2 linked regions of the Drosophila melanogaster genome follow. The protein of the gene in region 1 interacts with the protein of each later gene in a biochemical or structural test. Each region holds a gene or a part of one and is shown on either strand. Other genes may lie near its edges.

Region 1 (5,212 bases):
GGGAAAATTGTTTGGCGACGCCATGGAAATGATGACGTAAATTGAAAGCCAAAGCTGCCACGGCAACGAAATCTATTTGCAATTCCCTCTGCTCGCCGAAACCCCCTTGTCAATGCCTTTCAACCGACAGGTGTGCAGTTCTGTAGTTCTGGGCAATCTGCGAGTGCATATTTGTCGACTCACTGAGTGCACTTCTGAGATACAGATACGCGTGCCGCTGCAGATACTTAGATACTTTGACTTGGACCTGCTTTAATGGCATTTTTCCCCGACAAAGGTCCTACATTTCCGCTTTAATGCATTTTCCAACCCATTTCATCGCTGCTTTCGGTAGCGTTTTTAGTTGTTTCAGCTTGGATTTCAGCTAACCGCTTTTATTTTGTATTTTGTTTGCCTTGCCAGCCAGCGTGTCCTTCTGTGTCCTGTGTGCACTTTGTGCTCAATTCTGCGTTTTCTATTTCTATTTTTAGCCCTGCACTGAAAGCCAGCTGGCTTGCAGGGGCGGCGCTTAAATGGGGGGTTCTTTCACGGAAAACGTGCCCTGCCAGCAATTGCATAAATTAATCAAAACTGCCACACAGTATAAATACTCAATCGACAATAGTCACACATACACACACACACACACATAGAAGCTTTCGCACATCACCATTTTCCGAAACCCCTTCGCCCACTTTTCCAATTTTATTGCATTGACGTCACAGCTGCAGTTGTCCGGAGCAATGGCTCCGATGATGATTATGTTTGTCTTCTGGCCAGGTAAGCACCTTCTTGACCTTTCCCAAGCTGTTTACACTTATCGCTGGTAAGGGCCCAAAGACGAGAGTTCTTGGCTTTCACTCTTCGGTCCTCCGTTCGATTGACGGGACGTCGTTGAGTGCTTTTTCCTGGGGGACAATTGCGATGGGGGCTAACTGCCGAACTAACTGAATCAGCGTGGATAAGTGCTGATTACCCAGGCATAGAGCAAATGGTTGCATGGCAACTTGTGTAAGATCTATAGGGACTAGTAGTAAGGATGCTTTGGACATGACATTCATTGTTATGAAATGGTTAAAAGCATTAAATTTGACTTTTAAAATGCGCACACATATATTAAGTACCTAGAAATTGACAGAAATTAATCATACAAAGTCTCAAATATTACACAATTGTTTAACACCGATTTACGCTAACAAAGGCACAATTTAATTGTGGTAAATAGTTCCACAAATGTCCGATTTTAAATAATTAAAAAAACATGCAATAAAGAGGCTATAAAATATTATTCACTTTGATATGTGCATAATTAACGTTTAATATTCGTGTGTTTACTCACACATATTTTATTTTCTTTTAGCTGCTTTACATGTGCAGAAATAATTTTAAATCAGAAGGGTATTTTTCTGAAACATTTCTCTTATGGTTTTTTTTTGATATGTATGAGCAGTATTATGTTGTATTTATATTACATTTTTTATTCAGTCTACACAAATATAATGAGATATGGATAAGGAGGTTTCTATAAGCTAGGAACAAATACATATTTGGAAAATTTATGAATGAAATTACGTCTTATGCACTATTGCATAAGTCCAAACTGTCGCCCGTTTGCATCACTCTGTGTCATTTTCTTGCCTTCAACTTTGTGTGTGCACTTTGTTGGCTTCCAAGTTGCTTCTTTTAGGGTCTTCACCTGACCGACCGGGTCAGTTTCTAGACGGGCTTGAAACCGTACGGTCTGAGTCAGCTTTTTCTCTTCACTAGCTATCCAATTCCCTGACATTATCTTTTAATGGCTGCGGCTGCTGTTGCCACACCGGGGGCCACTGTGCTCCCTCCCTCGGTGCCCAGTGCCGCTCCAGGGGCCAAGGCTCCAGCGGCTGGAGCTGGCAAAGGTCCAGGAAATCTACTGGAGATCACTGGCGAAGCAAATATCGTCAACTATATGAAGAATCGTCTAAGGAAGGGTGCGATGAAGCGAAAGGGTCTCGAAATGGTCAATGGTCATCGTTTCGGAGTTAGATTCTTTAAGAATCCAACCTACTGCGGTCATTGCAAGGATTTCATCTGGTGAGAAATTTCGTTTTCGGTTTTTGCTGGCATCTCAGCGTTCCCATCGTTAATTTAATTAGTGCCTTCGTTGCTGACACACTTTTCGTTGTTTTTTCTATATTTTTTTCGCTGTTCTTCCGTTTCGCATTGTTGCATTCGCGGATTCGTGCCGGGATTAGGGGCTTTGGCAAGCAAGGTTTTCAGTGCGAGGGTAGGTAGAAATGTTCACAATTTAAAAAATCTTTTAAAATATTTGCATACGCAGAATGCCGCTTCAACATTCACCAGAAGTGCTGTAAATTTGTGGTGTTCAAATGTCCTGGCAAGGACACGGACTTCGATGCCGACTGCGCTAAGGTGAAGCACGGCTGGATTTCCACCACCTACACCACACCGACATTCTGCGACGAGTGCGGACTGCTGCTCCATGGAGTCGCCCATCAGGGCGTCAAGTGCGAGAGTAAATTCCTGAATAAACTCGAGTCCTATTGCTTTCAAGCTATTAACCCAAATATTTCAGATTGCAACCTAAATGTGCATCACGCCTGCCAGGAGACAGTGCCACCGATGTGTGGTGCGGACATCAGCGAGGTGAGGGGTAAACTACTGCTATACGTCGAGCTTAAGGGCAATAACTTGAAAGTTGATAGTAAGTTATTACTTAAAGTTTATATGCCCATATAAAGATTAATGTTTCTTTCATACTGCAGTTAAGGAGGCAGCTAACCTCATTCCCATGGATACCAACGGGTTTAGCGATCCCTATATTGCAGTGCAAATGCATCCGGACCGTTCGGGGCGCACCAAAAAGAAGACCAAGACCATTCAGAAAAACCTCAATCCAGTGTTCAACGAGACTTTTACTTTGTAATAGTTGAAAACTAATCCTCTAAATAGACCTCTTTACCATATTTTCTTTAATCCTAGTGAGTTGCAGCCGCAGGACCGTGACAAGCGTTTGCTCATCGAGGTTTGGGATTGGGATCGAACTTCTCGCAATGATTTCATGGGATCGTTCTCGTTCAGCCTGGAGGAACTGCAAAAGGAGCCAGTTGATGGCTGGTATAAGTTTCTGTCGCAAGTGGAGGGTGAACATTATAACATACCCTGTGTGGATGCCTTTAATGATATAGCTCGCTTAAGGGATGAAGTTAGGGTAAGCGGATGTCCTCACCAAGTTTGCCACATATTTAATATTCCTGATTTTCAGCACGATCGTCGTCCGAATGAAAAGCGTCGCATGGACAACAAGGATATGCCGCATAATATGAGCAAACGCGATATGATTCGAGCTGCTGATTTCAACTTTGTTAAAGTTATTGGCAAGGGATCCTTTGGCAAAGTCCTGCTGGCCGAGCGTCGTGGCACGGATGAGCTGTATGCCGTGAAGGTCCTGCGAAAGGATGTCATTATCCAAACGGACGATATGGAGCTGCCAATGAATGAGAAGAAAATTCTAGCCCTATCCGGACGTCCTCCTTTCCTCGTCTCCATGCACTCATGTTTCCAGACTATGGACCGATTATTCTTCGTAATGGAGTACTGTAAGGGTGGAGATCTTATGTACCATATGCAGCAGTATGGAAGGTTCAAGGAGTCTGTGGCTATGTGAGTACAAATATTTATATTCAAGTACCATATTTTGAAATCTTCTATATATTATGTGCTTAGTTTTTACGCTGTGGAAGTGGCTATTGCTCTGTTTTTCCTCCACGAGCGTGATATTATCTATAGAGATCTAAAGCTGGACAACATTTTGCTGGATGGTGAGGGGCATGTAAAGCTGGTCGACTTTGGATTGAGCAAAGAGGGCGTTACCGAGCGGCAGACCACACGAACCTTTTGTGGTACTCCAAATTATATGGCTCCCGAAGTAAGTAAATCAGCCGAAAAAAATAAGTGTAAAAATAATCAGCTTAAAAATAATTTAAGATTGTTAGCTACGATCCGTATTCCATCGCCGCTGATTGGTGGTCTTTTGGTGTATTGCTTTTCGAATTCATGGCAGGTCAGGCTCCATTCGAAGGAGATGATGAAACTACTGTCTTTAGGAACATAAAGGACAAGAAGGCGGTGTTTCCAAAGCATTTCAGCGTGGAGGCCATGGATATAATAACGAGCGTAAGTGTTGGATTTCAAAAACATATGAATCTAATGGTATAGATTTGTATTCCAAAGTTCCTGACCAAAAAGCCCAACAATAGATTGGGTGCAGGCCGCTATGCCAGACAGGAGATTACCACGCATCCTTTCTTCCGGAATGTGGACTGGGATAAGGCAGAGGCATGCGAAATGGAGCCACCTATTAAGCCAATGATTGTAAGCTAAAACAGGAGCCCCACTAGGAAATCATTTTATTGTAATCTTGGGTACATTTCAGAAACATCGCAAGGATATAAGCAACTTTGATGATGCCTTTACCAAGGAGAAGACGGACTTAACTCCAACGGACAAGCTTTTTATGATGAATTTGGACCAGAACGATTTTATCGGATTTTCTTTCATGAATCCCGAGTTTATAACCATCATTTAAAATGGTCTAAAAAAAAGCTTTGAGAAAAGTTTATAGGCTTCTTCGAAAAACTAGGCTTTTGCAAGTTAATTTACCGAAATTTATTTATTGTATCCTTCGCTAAAAGCCATCTAAATGTTCATTAAAGCTTTAACGCTTAAAGCTCTGATATTTAGTGGGTGGATTTTTCTTTTGGCTTTCTCTCTTTTAAGAGACAGCTTTTCACCACTAACATTAACATTTCCTCTGAAGCCCAGATAGTAAAAGAAAACAGAGAAAGTTCCGGACCAGCAGCTGATTGCTTTCTCTTTCTCTCTTTTCGGAAGGGGAAATCCTTTTGTGGAAACTCACCACTCGAGAGCACCTGAATTAGTTACGCATACGCCGCGTGTGCTCCACTCAAGGAAACCCTGACAGGAAGTTTCAAGATTGCCAGTGGGCTAACTAGCCAACTTTGGTTAAAATCTAAACTCATCAACAGGCTTGAAAGTTTTTAGTTATGTATGTCGAATTTCAAAGTTGCTCACAAGGCCACAACTTATTGCCGTTCATGTGGGTATGATGAAAATTCTTCGAACATTTTTGCCCAAATCCATCTTGCGGGTCGAGCGTAAAATTCAACGGGGTGAAAAGCGGTTTAACGGGTCGCCAAATAGTTTTCCTGTG
Region 2 (5,455 bases), 6.0 Mb from region 1:
ATTATTAGCAATTTGATATAACTGCATGTAAGTACAACACGAGAACAAGTCAACAACGGATTCGCCTGCACACACACACACACACACACACACACAGACACGTGTGGCCACTTACATAAGGACGAGTGGGTGTATGTGTGTGAGTGTGTTTGCCTGTGTGACAGCCAACAGTGGAAAATCACTTCAGTTAACTAAATCCCCGCAACAACCATGCGCCGACTGCGCCGCAGCAGCACGACTTCTGCAGGAGCGGACAGAGAGAGAGAGAGAGAGAAGGAGAGAGAGAAACAGAGAGCGGAACAGCCGAAAAGGACACGGCACAAAGCAGCCATTGCAGGGGCGTGGCCTGCGGCCAGAGAGCCAATCGGAGGGCGAGGTCTTGCGAACAGCGACGTCGGCAGCGGCAGAGGCTGCAAGGGACGAGGAGAGAGCGGGGCGGGGCTGGGGGAAGAGGTGGAAAAGGGGGCGGCAGCGTTAAGCTCATTGCCATATTTTCGCTGTGCTCTCTTTTGAATTTACTTTACTAACAAAACATGACTGTTGGGAGGCAAAAAGGAAATTGTTTTATCAAATGGGTTTCCTTACGCTTTTTTATTATGAAATTAATTTCCAGCATCGTTTCGCAGTCGTTGACGTTCCACTCCCATCGCTCTCACTCCCACTCTCCGTTGGGTTCGCCATTTTCCAGTTTAAACCCCATTTTGCGCCCAGCTCCTTTGAGCATGTGTTTACTCTAGTTTTCCTTTGGAGCTGCCTTAGCCATTCCACTTTCGTTTCATTCCGTTCGGGCAATGTTCGGGAAATGTTTGCATAGTCATATTCTCCCTTCCCTGCCTCCAGTTTCCTTTTTTCATACCGCCTTTCCCCCCGACAAAGGCATTAAAATGCAAATCTTGATTATGAATTTAAGCTCGGCAGACAAATTAAATTTATTTGCCACTCGAAAGATAAAAATCTTGAAAGTTTTATTTGATTACCGCTTGTGTCTGGTTCAGAAGTTCCCCAGCAATCCTTACCAATTCGCATTGAAATTGTTGCCTACTTTTTGGGGCTATATTATTGATACTGAATATATACAGTTCATATTCAATATCATATCATTGTCACCTTACATTTTATATTTATTTACTCTTTATTCTTCGGTATTTTGTGCGCATTTTATTATTGTTTTTTTATTAAGGATATTATATGTTTTAAAAATGTCCCCCACAAATTGTTGTTATTTGCAGTGCCGATATAGAAGCTCTCGCCCAGGTAAAAGTGTGTGAGACATATGTTATTCAGTTGTAAGTGCAATGAAAGAAAAATATAAAATCGATGGGCATTGCTGGTCAACACTTGGTGGGCTTCTCCTGGCGGAGTGTTGAGTTCAGCACGGGCCAAATCGTACCAACAAATTAATAACTTGATAGGGCCAATAAAGGTACATGGGTATCCATTTTCCCCTAGCCTTCACATCCGCGATGGTAACCCATATAATGGCCGTCTTCGGGGAGCTGGGTGTTTTGTGAGTGGTGTCATAACAGACAGTGAAAGTTACTCAATTCATTGGAGGCACCTCCTCCGAATCGATAGCACTGTACTGCAAGGTAATATTTTAATGGGTAATCTCAAGATACGAAACATTTTCATTATTATTAGTAGAATTTTTCTTTTACTCAAGCATTCTTTAGAAGGAAAGTTTGTGAAAGTGTCTTAGCATATATGTATGAACTACATGCATCTGGTACTCTAAGATCAACCCTGCTGACCAGTGTAATCGATACGAAAATCATACTCAAAATAGAATGGCCACTAAGTCAGTTAGCAAGAATGTTCGCCCGCTAATTGTAAAATCAGTTTAGGCGCACTTTTCAATGGACTCAAATCGGGCGCAGCCAACGCGGAATATTCACAAATAATAATTAAGTGAAAACCCATAACAATAAATATTCGATATTACATTTGAGCTTAATTCGGTGCGCTTAATGTCCGGTCAGTGAGTCGCGAGTTTTTGGCTAGGATTACGGAGCAGTCGATCTCAAGCAGCGAGGATGGTTCAGTTCCTGGGCAAACAGGGCACCGCGGGTGGTCAGTGTCCATTGAGTGGTTTCATGACCAACTGCTAATCAAATTTGCAGCTAGTCCCGAAAGAACTTGACCTTCCAAAGGTCACTCAATACTCGTTTTGTGTTTTATGAATCAAATAAAACAAAATTTGAACAAAAGCCAATTCAATTGACTTTATTGATTCTTAAGAATCCTGTGAGAAATATGTTTATGTAATGAACTTAACCTTAACATTTATATAAACGATTATACAATATTGGTGAAAATTATTTTGCGAAAGGATACCAAGTGGGATAAGGACCCCAATAAATATTTATTAGTAATAGCTTCACATTTGTCTTAGTCGTACTTTAACAATACGTTGTAAATAGTTTTTATTTCATTTGGAATGCACAATCCTTTCCCAGAGCTCATTCACATGGTGACCCTGGACAAGACGGGCAAGAAGTCCTTCGGCATCTGCATAGTGCGCGGCGAGGTGAAGGATTCGCCCAACACCAAGACCACCGGCATCTTCATCAAGGGCATTGTGCCCGACAGTCCCGCGCATCTGTGTGGTCGCCTAAAGGTTGGCGATCGGATCCTCTCGCTCAACGGAAAGGATGTGCGCAACTCCACCGAACAGGCGGTCATCGATCTCATCAAGGAGGCGGACTTCAAGATCGAACTGGAGATTCAGACCTTCGACAAGAGCGATGAGCAGCAGGCCAAGTCAGATCCGCGGAGCAATGGCTACATGCAGGCCAAGAACAAGTTCAACCAGGAGCAGACCACCAACAACAATGCGTCCGGAGGTCAGGGAATGGGGCAAGGTCAGGGTCAGGGTCAGGGAATGGCTGGCATGAACCGGCAGCAATCGATGCAGAAGCGGAATACCACATTCACGGCCTCGATGCGTCAGAAGCATAGTAACTACGCCGACGAGGATGACGAGGACACCCGGGACATGACCGGTCGCATTCGCACGGAGGCGGGTTATGAGGTGGGTTAACCCAAGGTCGCCACCCATCGCTCTACTAACTTATAAGTACCTTAGATCGATCGAGCATCCGCCGGTAATTGCAAACTCAACAAGCAGGAAAAGGATCGCGACAAGGAGCAGGAAGATGAATTTGGCTACACGATGGGTAAGACTCAATTGAAGCCATTAAAAAATGTCAGTCACACAGCACGTGAATGCCATTCCCAGCTAAGATCAACAAGCGGTACAACATGATGAAGGATCTGCGCAGGATCGAGGTCCAGAGGGACGCCAGCAAGCCACTGGGACTCGCACTCGCTGGCCACAAGGACCGCCAGAAGATGGCCTGCTTTGTTGCCGGTGTGGATCCCAACGGAGCATTGGGTAGCGTGGACATCAAACCGGGCGACGAGATCGTCGAGGTCAACGGCAATGTGCTGAAGAATCGCTGCCACTTGAACGCTTCCGCCGTGTTCAAGAACGTGGATGGGGATAAGCTCGTGATGATCACCTCGCGACGCAAGCCCAACGATGAGGGCATGTGCGTCAAGCCCATCAAGAAGTTCCCCACCGCGTCTGATGAGGTCCGTACTTTTCACTTCTTTTCGGATGGATCCTGCGATAAAATGTCCTTCCCTTCTATTCCAGACTAAGTTTATCTTCGACCAGTTTCCCAAGGCGCGCACGGTGCAGGTGCGCAAGGAGGGTTTCCTGGGCATCATGGTCATCTATGGCAAGCACGCTGAGGTGGGAAGTGGCATTTTCATCTCGGATCTGAGAGAGGGATCGAATGCCGAGTTGGCGGGCGTGAAAGTGGGCGACATGCTGCTGGCCGTTAATCAGGATGTAACACTGGAATCCAACTACGATGATGTGAGTCGTCAGGAAGCCCTCCAACCACTTAGTTTAAAACCATTTCATATCCACTTCAGGCTACTGGACTGCTTAAACGTGCCGAGGGCGTAGTGACCATGATTCTATTGACTCTCAAGAGCGAGGAGGCGATAAAGGCTGAGAAGGCGGCGGAAGAGAAAAAGAAGGAGGGTAGGTATTGCGTCCAAGCAAGTTCAAAACTGACATCTTCATCCCGATAACTCACAGAGGCCAAGAAAGAGGAGGAAAAGCCACAGGAACCCGCCACAGCCGAGATCAAGCCGAACAAAAAGATACTCATTGAGTTGAAGGTGGAAAAGAAGCCAATGGGCGTCATCGTCTGCGGCGGCAAGAACAACCATGTCACGGTGGGCTATCTGAACTTTCTGTTTCTGCAAGAAGTACCTTAAACAACTTTTCCCTGACAGACTGGCTGTGTAATCACCCACGTTTATCCGGAGGGACAAGTGGCAGCCGACAAGCGCCTCAAGATCTTTGACCACATTTGCGATATAAATGGTACGCCAATCCACGTGGGATCCATGACGACACTGAAGGTCCATCAGTTATTCCACACCACATACGAGAAAGCGGTCACCCTAACGGTCTTCCGCGCTGATCCTCCGGAGCTGGAAAAGTTTAACGTTGACCTTATGAAAAAAGCAGGCAAGGAGCTGGGCCTGTCGCTTTCTCCCAACGAAATTGGATGTACCATCGCGGACTTGGTGAGTGCACATACACCACTGGTATACAGTGGTAGGAAGGCTCAACCCTAAGTAACTACTTTCTCGACAGATTCAAGGACAATACCCGGAGATAGACAGCAAACTGCAGCGCGGCGATATTATCACCAAATTCAATGGCGATGCCTTGGAGGGTCTTCCGTTCCAGGTGTGCTACGCCTTGTTCAAGGGAGCCAACGGCAAGGTATCGATGGAAGTGACACGACCCAAGCCCACTCTACGTACGGAGGCACCCAAGGCCTAGAGACGATCCTCATTCTCCTCCTCCGGTAGCGAAGCAGTGCAGCAATTCAATAAAAGAACCAACAATTCGAATTCAAAACAATCTGTTTTCCGTTGTGGGTTTATTGAAAAGGAAACTCCTTAGGCTATAGAGCTTGCATTGGATGCAATACGGGGCCACAGATCGGCGCATTCCTTGGCCACCGGTCCAGTGATGGCCGAGCCCTTCATTTCGCCCTTGTTGTTTACTATTACCCCGGCATTGTCCTCAAAGTATATAAACACCCCGTCCCTCCTCCTGAACGGTTTGCGCTGCCGAATAACCACGGCAGGCATGACCTGGAAACAAATGAAAATAGTAGTTAGCAAAGTTGCTCGGCAGTGTGCAAACCTCCTGCTGCATCGGTTAGTTATGCAAAAGTGCGTTGTTATAGGTGGGGGAATTATGAGAAGTGCAGTGAAACCGTTTTATAAACCTTCTTCACTACAATTTTAAATTCTTATCAATAAACAAAAATATTAAAAACGTGAGTTTGGTGCGATAAGCTATCTTAGCCGGCACAAAACATGTGGGGAAAATTTATTGGAAGCGTAAGGAGAAACCTTC

The links. Proteins that work in one complex are often made in the same cells at the same time.
Region 2: of the proteins of inaC (region 1) and inaD, one has a biochemical effect on the other in vitro, tested with the Drosophila melanogaster proteins (3 studies listed by BioGRID, with this or other methods).

The regions. Positions count from the first base shown.
Region 1 is NT_033778.4:16,896,871-16,902,082, forward strand, and holds inaC (inactivation no afterpotential C), read left to right. Parts: upstream 1-1,664; 5' UTR 1,665-1,774; coding exon 1,775-2,052; intron 2,053-2,213; coding exon 2,214-2,245; intron 2,246-2,299; coding exon 2,300-2,494; intron 2,495-2,554; coding exon 2,555-2,683; intron 2,684-2,744; coding exon 2,745-2,901; intron 2,902-2,961; coding exon 2,962-3,190; intron 3,191-3,244; coding exon 3,245-3,642; intron 3,643-3,705; coding exon 3,706-3,907; intron 3,908-3,966; coding exon 3,967-4,155; intron 4,156-4,212; coding exon 4,213-4,353; intron 4,354-4,414; coding exon 4,415-4,567; 3' UTR 4,568-4,705; downstream 4,706-5,212. UniProt on the Drosophila melanogaster protein: This is a calcium-activated, phospholipid-dependent, serine- and threonine-specific enzyme. This isozyme is a negative regulator of the visual transduction cascade and has been shown to be required for photoreceptor cell inactivation and light adaptation.
Region 2 is NT_033778.4:22,855,177-22,860,631, reverse strand, and holds inaD (inactivation no afterpotential D), read left to right. Parts: upstream 1-1,837; 5' UTR 1,838-2,033; coding exon 2,034-2,070; intron 2,071-2,420; coding exon 2,421-3,031; intron 3,032-3,085; coding exon 3,086-3,176; intron 3,177-3,238; coding exon 3,239-3,594; intron 3,595-3,658; coding exon 3,659-3,883; intron 3,884-3,942; coding exon 3,943-4,054; intron 4,055-4,111; coding exon 4,112-4,251; intron 4,252-4,311; coding exon 4,312-4,608; intron 4,609-4,678; coding exon 4,679-4,870; 3' UTR 4,871-4,944; downstream 4,945-5,455. Other genes in the region: RpL23 (ribosomal protein L23), read right to left, coding at 4,990-5,187. UniProt on the Drosophila melanogaster protein: Involved in the negative feedback regulation of the light-activated signaling cascade in photoreceptors through a calcium-mediated process.